Callithrix jacchus: one gene and its partner. The protein of the gene in region 1 interacts with the protein of each later gene in a pairwise test. Links are inferred from orthologs where the notes say so. Each region holds a gene or a part of one and is shown in the gene's direction. Other genes may lie near its edges.

The links.
Region 2: the proteins of TECR (region 1) and HACD2 interact in binary tests that used the Homo sapiens proteins (3 or more experiments, as listed by UniProt). The link is inferred for Callithrix jacchus from reciprocal best matches to the Homo sapiens genes TECR and HACD2.

What each region holds. Positions count from the first base shown.
Region 1 is NC_133523.1:13,303,564-13,311,984, forward strand, and holds the start of TECR (very-long-chain enoyl-CoA reductase), read left to right. Parts: upstream 1-3,038; 5' UTR 3,039-3,143; coding exon 3,144-3,158; exon of another isoform or gene 3,159-3,847; intron 3,848-8,421. UniProt on the Homo sapiens protein: Involved in both the production of very long-chain fatty acids for sphingolipid synthesis and the degradation of the sphingosine moiety in sphingolipids through the sphingosine 1-phosphate metabolic pathway.
Region 2 is NC_133516.1:79,561,987-79,569,855, forward strand, and holds part of HACD2 (very-long-chain (3R)-3-hydroxyacyl-CoA dehydratase 2), read left to right. Parts: intron 1-4,503; coding exon 4,504-4,625; intron 4,626-6,479; coding exon 6,480-6,658; intron 6,659-7,869. UniProt on the Homo sapiens protein: Catalyzes the third of the very long-chain fatty acids (VLCFA) elongation four-step cycle (condensation, reduction, dehydration, and reduction).

The sequences.
Region 1 (8,421 bases):
GTCCAGTCTTTATTCTAAGGGTGGATTTCATTTCTGCTGAGAGCCTGGGTACTGGAAACCAGATTGGTAAACAAGGGGTTCCTCGAGCCTGCTACACCCTCAAAAACAAAGAGGAATTTTACTTTGGAGGATGGATCCTGCCTTTCTGCCAGCTTCTTCTTCTTCTTCTTTTTTTTTTTTTTTTCCAGAGATGGAATTTCACTCTTGTTGCCCAGGCTGGAGTGCAGTGATGCCATCTTGGCTCACCAAAACCTCTGCCTCCCAGGTTCAAGCAATTCTCCTGCCTCAGCCTCCTGAGTAGCTGGGATTGCAGGCATTCGCCACCATGCCTGGCTCATTTTTTGTATTTTATTTTTAGTAGAGACAGGGTTTCTCCATGTTGGTCAGGCTGGTCTTGAACTCCTGACCTCAGGTGATCTGCCTGCCTTGGCCTCCCAAAGTGCTGGGATTACAGGTGTGAGCCCCCGAGTTTTGCTTTTGAAGGCACACAAACAAAACACCTTCATGTTTTCACCTGTTTTCCCCAGATAGCACCAGTGAAAAAGATAAGGAGTTTCCTGAAGACCACGTAGCCTTGGCTTCCTGTATTCGGAGTCAGGGATCCCCAAAGGCTACAGGTTCAGAAGTTTCCAGAGCCGAATCTGGATGACTGAGTTCCAAGCACTGACTCACCCTTGCCTCCACCTGCTCCCTTGTGAATCAGCGATCTATCTTTAAGGACTTCTCATCATGTCTCTGATGACAGGTCTGTGAATTCCGGATGGTCCAACAGCTGATGAAGGCTCAGGAGTAGGACCTGGAAACAGGAGTAAAGAAAGGTGAAGAAGTGTGCCAGGTACTGCCTGCTCTTTTGCCTGTCTGAAATCTTTTTTTTTTTTTTTTTCTTCAAGACAGATTCTTGCTCTGTCACCCAGGCTGGAGTGCAGTGGCATGATCTTGGCTCACTGCAACCTCCACCTCCCAGGTTCAAGCAGTTCTCCTGCCTCAGCCTCCTGAGTAGCTGGGATTACAGGCACCCAACACCATGCCAGGTTAATGTTTGTATTTTAAGTGGAGATGGGTTTTCGTCATCTTTGCCAGGCTGGTCTCAAACTCCTGAAGCAGGTGGTCCACCTGCTTCAGCCTTGCAAAGTGCTGGGATAATAGGCGTGAGCCACCGCACCCAGCTTGTCTGAGGTCTTGAGTGTTTGCAGGCATGAATACCCATGTGTGTGTCCCCAGCTTGCTCATAACAATCAAGGGTGCCAAAGCATGCCATGATCTCAGATCAGTACTGTCCAATAAAAATAGTGTAAGAGGGTCCAGTGCAGTGGCTCACGTCTGTAATCCCAGCACTTTGGGAGGCTGAGGCGGGCACATTACCCGAGGTTGGAGGTTCAAGACCAGCCTAACCAACATGGAGAAACCCCATCTCTACTAAAAATACAAAATTAGCCAGGGGTGGTGGTGCATGCCTGTAATCCCAGCTACTTGGGAGGCTGAGGCAGGAGAATCGCTTGAACCCAGGGGGCGGAAGTTGCGGTGAGCTGAGATCACACCATAGCACTCCAGCCTGGGCTACAAACTCTGTCTCAAAAAATATAGTGTATGGGGGCGGGGCAAGGTGGCTCATCCCTGTAATCTGAACTCTTTGGGAGGTAAAAGCAGGAGGATCGCTTGAGTCCAGTAGTTTGAGGCCAGCTTAGGCAACATAGAAGTGTTAGGATCTCCTCAAGTGTGGTGTCCAGGGTCACAGTGAGCTATGATTGCGCCACTGGTTTCCAGCTTGGGTGACGGAACAAGCAAGACTGTCCAAAAAAAAACAGAAAAACGTTGCACAACTGTCAGCCACAAATGTGAGCTCTGTTTGTGATTTTAAATGTTCTAATGGGCACACTCAAAATATAAAAAGACGCCCCAGCACGATGGCTCACTTCTGTAATCCCAGTGCTTTGGGAGGCCATAGTGGTCAGTCACTTGAGGCCAGGAGTTGGAGACCGAACCCAGCCAGAAACTGATGTATTTTTCATTTACAGGGCGTCTCAGTTTGGACCAGCCCCATTTCAAGGACTCAGTGGCCCCATGGAACCACTAGACACCATTCTGGACAACGTCAAGCAGAGACAAATATAGGGCCGAGCAGGCTGGGTGCGGTGGCTCACGCCTATAATCCCAGCACTTTGGGAGGCTGAGGCATGAGCATCACCTGAGGTGAGGAGTTCAAGACCAGCCTGGCGAAACCCTGTCTTTGCTAAAAAAAATACAAAAATTAGCTAGGTGTGGTGGCAGGCACCTGTAATCCCAGCTACTTGGGAGGCTAAGGCATGAGAATTGGTTGAACCTGGGAGGGGGAGGTTGCGGTGAATCGTCATTCTCGAATTGAACTCCATTGAACTCCAGCCTGGGGGACAGAATGAGCCTCTGTTTCCAAACCAAACCAAACCAAACCAAAGTGGGGCGGGGGCTTTCATTAAGAGCGGCAGTGAAGCCATCCCCATAATGGGGCTGGGGCTCAAGGTTGCAGGTTGGGGGTTCCCAAATGGGGAGCTTTTTGCCATCGCACATTCCCTTTCCTTCCCTCCCACTCAAGAGTCTCCTCCCGGAGTGGCCTTGCCATCCAGGCTCCTCAGCCCGCGACCCCAGTCCCTTCCTGGTGTATCCCGGGGGCCGCCCACCTCGGAAGTTAATCCGTCTGCGTCGCCTGTCATGTGGACACTGCTTTGCCTGTCACTCAACTTTTTACCCCGCCCCCCGCCTGGCCGTAACCGTCGCTTACCTTGGTTTCCACAGCGACGCCATCAGGGGTCGGGGCAAAGGGACGCGCGGCGCAGAAGCCTCCTTTGGATTGGTGGATGGCCAAGCCTCTTCTCTTTAGCCCCTCCTGCGCTCGCTCCGCCCCCTTCGGTGGGTCTCGCAAGCTGATTGGTCAATCCCCTGGTGCTAGCCCTGGTCCTGGTTCGGACCTGCCCCAAGGGGCAGGGGCGAAGGTGGTCGCCTCGTGTCCTGATTGGCCGGAGGGGCGCGCGCGGCCGGGAGGGGCGGGGCGGACGCAGAGCCGCGTTTAGTCTCTCGCAGCGGCAGCGAGTGTTCTAGGGACCCTGTGTTGTGTCGCGCTCAGTTAGGCAGCAGCAGCTGCGGAGCTGTAGCCGCCGTGGGAGTGAGCCATGAAGCACTACGAGGTAAGACGCGAGAAACGGGGACCGCGTGGCCACTGCCGACACATTCTTTTTCCTTCTTTGCGGACCATGGGACTCCACTTTCTGGTCCTGAGCCCCAAAGGAAAAGCCGGACGGCGCAGGCGCAGTGGGCCAGCGTTGCTCCCTGGGCCACTCGTAAATTCCAATGCGCATGTGCGGAGGAGGTATTTATAAATCTGCAACCCAGGCTGTTTTGGGGGTGCTTTTTCTTGGGGGTCTCTGCAGGGGCTGGGACGTTTGCAGGTTCCTTGCAGCTCCCTGAGCGGGCTGAGTTGCAGACTTTGTCATGGGAGCTACGAAGGTCCGGGACCCTTGCTCCCAAACCGAGGGAGAGGAGTCTTGCACAAATCTTGCACCACGCCGCCGCCACCAGCGTAGGAAGGGCTTTGCAATCAGTCTTCTTGTGTCCGACCTTTGGACCCCTTCCCTCGCCCGGGAGGTTCCCTAGAGGCTTAGGCGGTGAGGGAGGTGCAGCTCCACGGCTGGATTTCGCAGAGCAGCGAAGCTGATCTTGTTTTCTGGTTATCTAAGAGGTCATCTCCGTCAACCCCCGGGTGTCACCAAGGAGAAATCTTATACCACTACCAGCCACTCTTAAAGCCCAAGTCTTCTGACTCCTAACTTGGATCTCTTTTTCCCTTAAAACGAAGTCTTCTGATGTGCGTATCGCCCTAAGTGATAATGTGATATTGATAATTCAACTACTTATCCCTGAATTATTTCTGCTTTTAAGTAATTATCAAATAATAAAATTTATTATTAAAATTTAAAATAACAGTTGAGCAAGTGCTCACTCTTGTGCTAGTGAGATTCTATTACCTTGTAAAGAACTATTATTACTCCCATTTGTAAGGATGAATAAAATCTCAAAGATATCAAGTGACTTGTTCAAAGGCCCCAGCTGGTAAATGCAGAGCAGACAGAGGAACTCAGAACGACAAAGCCACTTTGCCATTTGGCCCTCAAATGAAAATTAGCAAGCAGGTCGAGCGATTTCTTGTTTCTCCCTTCCCCTCCAATTTAAAAAATTCTGGCAAAATACACGTAACATTTACCGTCTTAACTATTTCTAAGTGTATAGTTCAGTGGCATTAAGAACGTTCAGTTGTGCAACCATCACTACCATCGATCTCTAGAACTCTTTGCATCTTGCAAAGCAGCTGTAGCCATTAAATACTAAGTCCCCATTCCTTTCCACCTCCACCTGTGGCAACCACCATTCTACTTTCTGTCTCAATGAATTGACTACTCTAGGTACCTTACATACGTAGAAGAAAAGAATTTGTTTTCTTTTCAAGACAGTTTTGCTCTTATTGCTGAGGCTGGTGTGCAATAGCGCTATCTCGGCCAACTGCAACCTCTGCCTCCAGGGTTCAAGCGATTCTCCTCCCTCAGCCTCCCACGTAGCTGGGATTACAGGTACCTGCTACCATATCTGGCTAATTTAAAAAAATTTTTTAAAAAATATTTTTAGTTGACACGGGGTTTCACTGTGTTGGCCAGGCTGGTCTCAAACTCCTGACCTCAGGTGATCCACCCACCTTGGCCTCCCTCCCAAAGTGCTGGGAGTACAGGAGTGAGCCAGTGCGCCTTGCCGTTTGTTTTTATTCACAAGTTGAATATTCCTACCTCTGCCTGCTCCGTTTATTATTATTTTTGGAAATTTACCCACAATCCTTTGAAGCCTTTTTTTTCTTTTTGAGATGGAATTTTGCTCTTATTGCCCAGGCTGGAGTGCAATGGCATGATCTCGGCTCACTGCAACCTCTGCCTTCCAGGTTCAAGTAATTCTCCTGCCTCAGCCTCCCAAGTAGCTGAGATTACAGGCATGTGTCACCACACCTGGTTAATTTTGTATTTTTAGTAGAGACTGGGTTTCTTCACGTTGGTCACACTGGTCTCAAACTCCCAACCTCTCATGTGATCCGCCCATCTTGGCCTCCCTAAGTGTCGGGATTACAGGTGTGAGCCACAGCGCCTGGCCCCTTTGAAGCTTTTAATCCGTAAATCCTGTCATTTTTGACACGGTATCAAGAATGAGCAGGTTTGTATTCAATAATCTCTAATGTGTCATTTAAGTTTTCATTCTAGAATAAAGTTCTGGGCCAGGCGCAATGGCTCACACCTGTAATCCCAGCATTTTGAGAGGCCGAGGTGGGCAGATCATGAGGTCAGGAGTTGGAGACCAGCCTGGCCAACATAGTGAAACCCCATCTCTTTAAAAAAAAAAAAAAAAAAATATATATATATATATATATATATATATAGTCCTGATGTGGTTTCCCCTCTCAAACTCTGTCTAAATCTATAGTCCCACTACTGTATTCTCAGCTACTTGGAAGGTTGAGGCGGGAGGATGGCTTTAGACCAGGAGGTTGAGGCTGCAGTGAGCCCAAAAATCAGGCCACTGCACTCCAGCCTGGACAACAGACCCTGTTTCAAAAAAAAAAAAAGCCACCACGTCTGTCTTGAAAGATGAAACATCCATGTGGCATTTTGCAAAATATAGTCGGTTTAGTTTTACTAGTTAGCAGTCAGATAAAGTAGGCCTCTGATTGCCCTGGGGGTGCGCGCTTTTGTTCCAGGAAGCTGGGCACAGCCTGAGACCCAAGACTTGAACTGAAGAATATGCTGAACCATGCTTAATCTTTTTCTCCCCCAGAAAGAAGGGAAAGCTTTGGCCGGGCATGGTGGCTCATGCCTGTAATCCCAGCACTCTGGGAGGCTGAAGTGGCTGGATCATTTGAGGCCAGGAGTTCAAGACCACCCTGGCCAACATGGAGAAACCCCATCTCTACTAAAAATACAAAAATTAGCTGGGTGTTGTGACACACGCCTGTAATCTCAGCTACTTGGAGGCGGACAGAGGTTGCAGTGAGCTGAGATTGCACCATTGCATTCCAGCCTGGATGACAGAGTAAGTCTGTCTCAAACAAAAAGAAGGGGGAAGCCTCAGACTCACTGTTTACAGTGACCTTGGAGGTAAAAAAATAAATTGCTATTTTGCTGTGTTCTTTGTTGTTCTCTACCAGCCTTTGCCAAGTACCCATGGAGGTGATAGCTACAGGGATTCTGGATGGGAAAAGCCGTTGTCTTCCAGCCCAAGCAGATTAGTTTATCTGCAAGAGTTTATTGTAGGTCAATAAAAATAGAAGAGATGCTTTCACTCATATTTAACAAGCAATTTGAGAAAAGATTTATCTACATCAAAGAATATATTTCTGGCTGGGCGAGGTTGCCTATGCCTGTAATCCCAGCACTTTGGGAGGCTGTGGTGGGTGAATCACTTGAGGTCAGGAGTTCAAGACCAGCCTGGTCAACATAGTGAAAGTTTATCTCTACTAAAAATAAAAAAATTTAGCTGGCCATGGTGGCATGCACTGTAGTCCCAGTTACTGGAGAGGCTGAGGCATGAGAATCACTTGAACGTGGGAGGCAGAGTTGCAGTGAGCCGAAATCATACCACTGTACTCCAGCCTGGGTGACAGAGTCAGACTCTGTCTTAAAAAAAAAAAAAAAGGGCTGGGCGCGGTGGCTCAAGCCTGTAATCCCAGCACTTTGGGAGGCCGAGGCAGGTGGATCATGAGGTCAAGAGATCGAGACCATCCTAGTCGACATGGTGAAACCCCATCTCTACTAAAAATACAAAAAATCAGCTGGGCACGGTGGTGTGTGCCTGTAATCCCAGCTACTCAGGAGGCTGAGGCAGGAGAATTGCCTGAACCCAGGAGGTGGAGGTTGTGGTGAGCTGAGATCGTGCCATTGCACTCCAGCCTGGGTAACAAGAGTGAAACTCTGTCTCAAAAAAAAAAAAAAAAAGGAAAAGGATATATTTCAGCCCATTGCAGTGGCTCATGCTTGTAATCCCAGCACTTTGGGAGGCCAAGGCGGGCAGATCACGTGAGGTCAGGAGTTCAAGACCAGCTTGGCCAACATGATGAAACTCCGTCTCTGCTAAAAATACAAAAATGAGCCAGGCGTGGTGGTGGGTGCCTGTAATCCCAGCTACTTGAGAGGCTGAGGCAGGAGAATCGCTTCAACGAGGAAGTCAGCGGTTGCGGTGAGTGGAGATTGTGCCATTGCACTCTAGCCTGGGTGACAGAGCAAGACTCCGTCTCAACAAAACAAAACAAAACAAAAAGAATGTATATTTCTGCTTGATACTAAATCCATCCTCCCACCCTCAAGCAATCTCTTGTTCACTGAGAGATTAGCCCCCTTCAAAAGACTTTCTTGGCCCCTGAAGAGACCTTGGAGAGTAGGAAGTGAAATTTACAAGTGATAGAGGTAATGTCCAGACAGGTGCAGGATGGCTCACTGTCGCACAGCAAATTTATGTCTGATGTCGTGGCAATTGGGATCCCAGCAGTGGGGGTTGATTGGTGGCTATTTCCATAGTAGCTTCATATCACTGCCAATCTCATCTGATATGGGGAGGAGAAGTTATTCGTTCTGTGGCCTGATTGAGGTGAAACCTCTAGAACAGGTCACCTCCAGGCCTTGGCTGAAGCCCTCTCCTTACAATGCCAGAGCAGGCCTTGGCATTGTCTTTGGGTCAGAGCTGGGTCAGTAAGCGAACTGCTTATCCTAGGCTACAGTAGGTTTTTTTTAAAATTGCTGTTTTTGCCACTGCTGATGAGACTCAAAGCAATGTGTCCCCTAGCAACTGGAAAAACAGCTAATGCATCTTGTAAATTCCTGTTAATTCCTGAGAAAACCAATCCCTCTTCTGCCTCCAACAGTCCAGATCACTGCCATTTCCTGCAGCTTAGTACCTGGAGGCTAGGAAGCCTTAGCCTCCTGGGGTCCCCACGACCTGAATTTAGGATATTTTCTTTTCTTTCTTTTTTCTGAGACGGAGTCTCGCTCTGTCGCCCAGGCTGGAGTGCTGTGGTGCGATCTTGGCTCATTGCAACCTCCATCTCCTGGGTTCAAGCAGTTCTCCTACCTCAGCCTCCCGAGTAGCTGAGATTACAGGTGTCGGCCACCACACCTGGCTAATGTTTGTATTTTCAGTAGAGATGGGGTTTCACCATGTTGGCAGGCTGGTCTCGAACTCCTTACCTCAGGTGATCCACCCACCTCCGCCTCTCAAATTGCTGGGATTATAGGTGTGAGCCACCACGCCTGGGTGCATTTAGGATGTTTTCATCCCCACAAAAGTGTCGCTCTTTTGGTACCCACCTTGCAAATAATCCTGGACCAACATAGTACCTTGTCTCAGCTTTCTCCTTAGGAATAAGTG
Region 2 (7,869 bases), on another chromosome or scaffold:
TTTCAAAATAGAAAAGTGGCCAGGTGTAGTGGCTCACACCTGTAATCCCAGCACTTTGGGAGGCTGAGGAGGGAGGATCAATTGAGTCTAGGAGTTTGAGACCAGCCTGGGCAACACAGTGAAACCCAATTTCTACATAAAATAAGAAAAAAAAATGAGCTGGATATGGTGGCACACACTTGTAGTCCAGCTACTCTTGAGGCTGAGGCAGGTGGATCAGTCCCAAGGAGGTTGTCTTGGGAGGTTGAAGCTGCAGTGAGCTGCTATTGTGCTGCTGCTTTACAGCCTGGGTAACAGAGCAAGATCCAGTCTCAAAAAAAAAGAAGGAAAAGAAAAATATAAGTTATCATCCAATTTAAGGGGCATTGATTCTACATATCCCTGTGTCTAGACCTGTTTCAGGACTGAGGAAGCCACATAATGAGACCTTGGCCCTTGAAGTCCTTGCCGTCAAGCAGGGAGTAATAGCCAGAGAACGATTCACATTTCACATGCTCGGAGTCAGTAATGTTGACAGGAGAGCTTGTCAGTTATTTCTCCTCTCTGGCCTTTTGGATGAAGGAAAATTTATTTTAAGAAGCATTGTCAAAGCCTCTACCCATTTTTTTTGCCAGCTAGAAAAATTTCAGCTCATGCAAGGAAGTTAGTATTAGCCAGTATTTCATGCCTTGCCCACAGAGGGGTCATGGGCACACACCTTTCCAAAGAACAGTGGCAGCCCTGGCCGCCCCAGGCCAGCTCAGCCTCCTGTCCTTGGTAGGACCTTCTGGGCAGTCTCGGTTTGGATATGTCCAGGGCCTGCGAGCACAAAACTTTGTGAGGTGGCCAATTTGAGTAGTTACCTGGTTTGTTATACAATTTTTCTTATGTTGAACCCAGCATTTTACTCCCTGCCAGTTTTATCCATCTTGTTCATGGTATCCTTTTACATATTTTAAAGTACATACCCTCTTTCCTTTTCCAAAGTCAGCTCTGCTAGTTTAGGAGGTTTTTGTTGGTCTGTTTTTGTTGTTGTTGTTTGAGACAGAGTCTCACTCTGTCACCAGGCTGGAGTGCAGTGATATGATCTCGGCTCACTGCAACCTCCACCTCCCGGGTTCAAGGGATTCTCCTGCCTCAGCCTCCTGAGTAGCTGGGATTCCATGCATGAGCCACCTCGCCCAGCTAATGAGGAGTTCTTCTAGCAGACTCTGTTCCCTAAGTGGGTCTCATCTATTTACAGTGCAGTAATTGGGATAAGACTGTTAATGTGGCTGAATCCTGGAGTTTTGTTTGTTTGAACAGCCACCTCACACCCGGTTGGCTCCTGTGAGGCTTATGGTTCACCAAAAACTCCAGATCTCTTGATTTCATAAGGTAGGTCTTCTCCATTCTGATGTGGAGTCATTTTGTTGTTGCTAAGTCATGTAATTACATTTAGACTTTCTAAATTTATGTTACTGCTGTTGTTTTGGGGGGGCTTTAATTTATTTTTTATTACAGTAAAATACATATAACATTCACCATTTTGCCACTTTTATATAGTTCAGTTGCATAAACGCTTTCTTATTGTTGTGCAACCATCATCACTGTCCATCTCCGGAACTTTTTTAATCCTCCCAAACTGGAACTCCACACCAATGAAACAGTAATTCTCTATTTCCCATCTTCCCAGCTGCTGGCCACCTTCTATCTCTACTTTTTGTCTCTGCCTCACCCTAGGTACCACATATGAGTAGAATCACACAGTATTCATCTTTTTGTGACTGGCCTATTTTACTTAGCGTGATATCCTCAAGGTTCATCCATGTTGTAGCATGTGTAAGAATTTTCTTCTTTTTAAGGCTGAATCATACTCCACTGTATGTATATGATAATACTCTACTGTATGTATATGATAATACTCTACTGTATGTATATGATAATACTCTACTGTATGTATATGATAGTACTCCACTGTATGTATATAATACTCCACTGTATGTATATGATAATACTCCACTGTATGTATAGACCACATCTTGCTTATCCGTCTATCAGTACACACCTGGGTTTCTTTGCCTTTTGACTATTGTGAATAATGCTGCTATAAACATGAGTGTACGAATACCTGTTGGAGTCTCATTGATCTTACTGGCTTTAACTCATGTATTACATTTGCCCCTGTTTTCTGTTATTGGTTGTATAATTATCTGTAAATTAGATAAGGTCAATCTCTTTATCCATATCCCTTCTTGATAACAATGTTGCATTTCCTACTGATTGGAAAATATCATTTTGCACAAAATGGTCATTTCCTGCATCCCTAGTCTTTTTTAAAAGACTTACGCCATCATCTTTACAGCTGGACTCTGGGAACAGACTGCTTTCATATTTAGCCTGAGTCTGAGTTTTTCATAGTTCCTTCGGCTAAGATCTAACTTGGGGGTGGATGGGAGGTGAATAATAACCAACCTGTAGGCTGGGTCAAAGCAGGAGGTTTTGGGAGTTTGTTTGTTTCTTTGTTACCTATTTGGAGGCCACTGAGACTACACAGAAACTATCAGGCACCAAAAAGAAGGGAACTAAGTCTCAGAGTAACCTGATTAGGACGGAATTCATTTGCTCCGCAATTATTTATTGAGCTTTTACTTGTGAAAAGCACAAAGTGCTTTTGGAAAACAGAAGATGAATAAAACACATTCCCTGATTTCAAGATGTTTACAGTTCAAAATATTAAAGGAATTTCCTTTTGTAACCTAGAGCTCTTGAGGCAAGGCTTCTTCTACTCATAGCTGTACAAACATAACTCCTTAAGATAAGGAGGATTATAAAACACATCAAAAAGCAAAGTGTGCTTTTATATTAATATTACATTTCGGTGTAGATGGATTCAAGTAAGGATTGGGGGACAGAGTGAAAAATCTCACCATGAAAGCTTTGGAGGTGTTTCGCTTTTGCTTTACTTTGGCTAATATGAGAGCGCCAGGAAAACAGAAAGTACTCTTGCTCTTGACAGTATAAAATTCTTATTATTTTTAGAGAATAGTAACTGTGCATTTATGAAATTCTTTGTCAGAGCAATTTAGTTAATAGATATGTAAATGACTACTTATTTCATTGTGTAGGTGGATCGCTCCATGTACACTTTCTGAGGAAGAATATAAGTGCTAAAAACTATTAACATTGCAAATGGAAAGAAGCAAAAGTTACGGCGAGAATGCCATTCCCTTGCTGTATTAGGTATTAAGAGTGGGACAGAAAGTCCACCTTATCATCAAGATTTGTTTGGTTTATGGGGTGGGATTTCTTATTTACATCCGACTCTTGGACTCTTTTTTTAGATGCCTGGAAACTAATGTGAATTGAGGTGCAAGGGTATTTCTTGCTGATTTTCAAGCACAAAAGGTCATTACAAACCCAGCTGGGAAGGGATGGGGAAGGTGCTTAAAGTTAAAACCACAGCAGTACATTTTCAATGCAAGAGAATGCCTCCTAAAAAATCACCTAGGGCTCTTTTAAACATTTATTGTTTTTTCAGCATAAAAACAACTTCAGAGGAGGCTGGGGATTTCAAAGCTCTTTGGCTCTAACTGCCTCCTGGGAACAGCATGGAAGCTTCCCTAATCATGGAGGAGTTAATGCCGGCCTCCTTTGGGGGAAGAAGTCTCTAATGGGAGGAAATAAATGGGCTCTTACCTTGCAGGTGGTCCCCAGCCCTCCCCTCAGTGGAATTCCTCTTGCTCTGTGAGCTAGCCTCATCTTCATTTGTGCTTTTTGTTGTGGGTTTTGTTTTTTTTGAGACAGTCTCCCTCTCTCACCCAGGCTGGAGTGCAGTGGCACGAGCTCAGCTCCCTGCAACCTCCGCCTACCAGGTTCAAGCAATTCTCCTGCCTCAGCCTCTTGAATAACTGGGAATACAGGCATGCACCATCACGCCCAATAATTTTTTTTGTATTTTTAGTAGAAACAGGGTTTTACCATGTTGGCCAGGCTGGTCTCGAACTCCTGACTTCAGGTGATCTACCCACCTCAGCCTCCCAAAGTGCTGGGATTACAGGCACCTGGCCCACTTGTGCTTTAATCATTACATTCCCCTTCTCTAAAATTGCCTTGGGTTCACAGCTGTCATGCAAATCAAGTAAAATTCTTGGTAATGGATCCAAGTCTCTCCGCCACTTTGCCCTCCCACCCTCCTTACCTAACTGCTCTTGGCCCCACTGACATCAGTCCATGTTCTCCATATGAGGCTGGCAAACCTGCAAAACCCCCACCTCTTGTGTTTGTTCCTCCCGCCCTGCTGCTCTTGCTCCTGGTGACTGGTGACTCTTTGCACTTGGCCCTCATCTCTGGGCTGTACACAGCTGTCACCGTAGGCCCCAGCTCCTCTACACACATGCTCTATCTGCTGTACAGTAGCCCTGAAGATAGACACTAGCGGCTGTGCCGACTCACTCCCCAGCTCTGTGGGGCACTGCACACTGTGAGTTCGTCTTCATTAACGTCTGTGTGTTTGCTTTTTCTTTTGTTTTCCTCTTCCTTCAGGTACAGACTGAAGACAGTGTCCTCCTGTTTGTTATTGCCTGGACAATCACAGAAATCATCCGTTACTCCTTTTATACATTCAGTCTATTAAACCATCTGCCTTACCTCATCAAATGGGCCAGGTAAAAAAAACATAAGGAATGAGGGCTTACTTTTGAAATGATCTGTCAATGCATTTGCCCTTTATTGCGTAAATATTGCCTCCAAGTTTCTAAAAATAAAATTGACACAGAGGTTGGGTAGAAATCTTGTCTGTAGATTTCATCTGAGAGAGTCTGTACTTAACTTTGACTAACAGAAATACTGCTTTAAGATTTTTATATTTTGCTTACATTATTTTAATTGGGATCAGTTCTCTTCAATTATGCAGTATTTTCCTTTTTAAAAAAATTTCATCACCAAGTAACAATAAATAGAGATTTGCTGTAACATCCCTTTTTTGTCCATATCATCACATTTTACTGATGAGCTTCTGCCATTGTGATGGGTTTTTTTTGACCAAGTCCTGTTCTCCTAGTCTCAATTTTGCCACGAAGCTGTGACTCTTAAATTAATTTTTAAGTAATAAACATTACATGGCAGCTTTAGCTTCTCACTTTGATTTTGCTTTATTTTTACCAGTAATGATGAATTGGGTATAAGGCTAGTAGTTCATCTGGCTTACGTTAATAGTCCATGAGACAGTTGCAGGCAGTTTTCTGAGCTGGGAAACTCTTTGAGAGAGCGTGACAAAGCAAAAGGATCCAAGTTGTCCCCAGAGCTGAAATGCCTTATTTGGTGGAAGAAAAGCAATGGTTCCTAGACTGTTTATGAGTTCAGTGATTAAATTAGGGACATAATCTGATTGTTTCCAACATTTCGAGTATGGGAACTCCTTTATTATTTTTCTCATTTGCAGTGAACATTTTTATTAGGAAAGGGGAAGAATGGGAAACAGCAGTTACTAACCAACCTGGACAGCCACTGTGAAAGCTGTTTACCCCGGTTGTTAGGGAAGTCTGTTGACCAAGGCTTGATTTTACTGTTGGAGAAAGATTCTTTCGTCTACTGTTCTCCACGGCCTCTGAAAGATTTTTTTCCAACATCCTACTTAGTGTGGCTAAAATTGGCAGTGGGGAATATGTCTTCCCTTCCTCTTCAGAGATTTTCAATGCAATTCCTGTGCCCAGAAGTTTGTAGTCCATTGCACATTGTGAGTCACAAATAGCCAAAGGCTTTTTAAAGTCTAAGCTGATGATTCCTTTAGCAATCCTTACAGCGGCTTACAGTTCCATGGGTCAGTGACTGCTCTCTGAATTCTTTGTGGAATATGGAGAACTCCTTTTTAAAGAGAAAAAAATTAATGCAGAATTCCTCCCACGTGATGATAATTGTAATTGTGAGGTGTTTTGATTGGAAAATTACATAGTAACCAAAAGCTATTATGAATTTAAAATTTTTTAAATTGCATATATTTGATTTTTTTACAGTATCATATACAGACATTTGAAAAATAGTATACAGATGTTTGTGCTGTTTTTTTTTTTTTTTTTTTTCTTTTTTTTGGTTTAGTCTTTTTGTGTGTTGTGGGAATTCCTAGACCACATGTTCCAGCACCTCTGCCCCAACCCCATCCCAAGGCCCACAGGGTAGGACCCTTCAGTATAAACTATGACTCAGTTCCCCTCCTTCACCAGCACTTGGCATCACTTTCGTTATTTTAGAGCGTTCTTTTGAAGAGTTGCTTATTTAGTCAGACCAAATTTTGAGGCTGCCTGAACACATTTATTTTGTCGTAGAACATTTGGAAACATATACCTGCTGTAGGCTCATTTCAAAAACTGGCTTGTAAAACCTGAATTTGAATAGCAGGTAAACAGGAAAATACATAAGCAAACATTTTCTCAAAGACTAGTACTGATCAGAAGAGTGGGAAGTGCAGCTTCCTCCTAGAGCTGGCTTTGAGCCTCAGTAATGAATATTGTGTTTTGTTTTAGGTACACACTTTTCATTGTGCTGTACCCAATGGGAGTGTCAGGAGAACTGCTCACAATATACGCAGCTCTGCCCTTTGTCAGACAGGCTGGCCTGTATTCCATCAGTTTACCGAACAAATACAATTTCTCTTTTGACTACTATGCATTCCTGATTCTAATAATGATCTCCTACATTCCAAGTAAGTGAACAGTTATGCATATATTTAATTATGTTTTAAAGTTTGGCTCTACAATAACTAGAGTTAATATCTTTGATTGTTTTTGCACCATATCCAAATAAATGTAAATCTAATTTATTAGGAATGCTTGGTTTTTGTTGAATGCTATCAAAGGGAATTTTTTCCATTAGTAATTGAATAAAGACTAACCCTTCTCAATACAGTTGCCAAAATGCAGCCCTTCTCAGCATGTGGGTTTGAAGCTGTGAATGCCAGGCTCCGTTAAGCATATATTGGAGAAAGTACTGAATGGAAAACAACAAAGTCATTAAAGGCCTGACTGTGGATTGTAGTTTTCTGTCTGTTCAGAACTGCTTGTTACGGTATTTGAAAAACATGGTGAAAAGACTTTTGTGTTGGTTCCTATATCAAAATAGACATTTAGCTTCATTTTGAAGGGATTGGTAGTTAACTAGAAACGTAACAAAATAATTATAGATTTATTTTTTCCAAATTTTTCATTTTCTTGTTGGGCACTGATTGGGACACAGTGTTCTCTTCAAGATGGTTTCCAATTATTTTAATAGTACCGCTGAAGACTTAAGTATATGGATAATCAAGTGTGCCTCTCTGTGTATTCGGTGGCAGAGAAAAAGACATGTTTGTTGTCTCTGTGAAGTGAGCCCTACTTTCTGAGGATGAGGAGTTTCGTCCTTTTGTGGAACCCTGATGTTCAATTATAAATCCTGATTGACATCTACATGCCAAAAGATCTTGTTATAACCAAGGACATATAATGTTAGTGTTTCTTCTCATTTAGCTATTTCTGTAACCATTGTAACTCTGAATATTATTTTAATTTAGAAGAGATGCTATGTTCTTCCCTAAACCCAAGTTAAATTCAGACAAAGTTGGATTTTTCTTCATTCCATGGCATTATTGGAATGAATCATCCTAGCAAAGCGACATGTTTGTGTCGCTCTGTGGAAAATTGCATTTCATGCATTGTGAGAAAAAAACAACAACCAGATTTCATGTGAGCATTTATCTTGGAGAAATTCTTGGATACAGTTCTGCTTCATGATTCATTTTCCACTCTTTATTAACGATCAAGTCCTGCTCTCTAGTGCCCGAATCATAGTGGCCAGAGGCCATCTCTCTTCAAATGTAAAAAGTAGTTGGTTTTCAAACAAGATAAACGTGAAATCATCTAAACATTTAAGTAGTAAAAA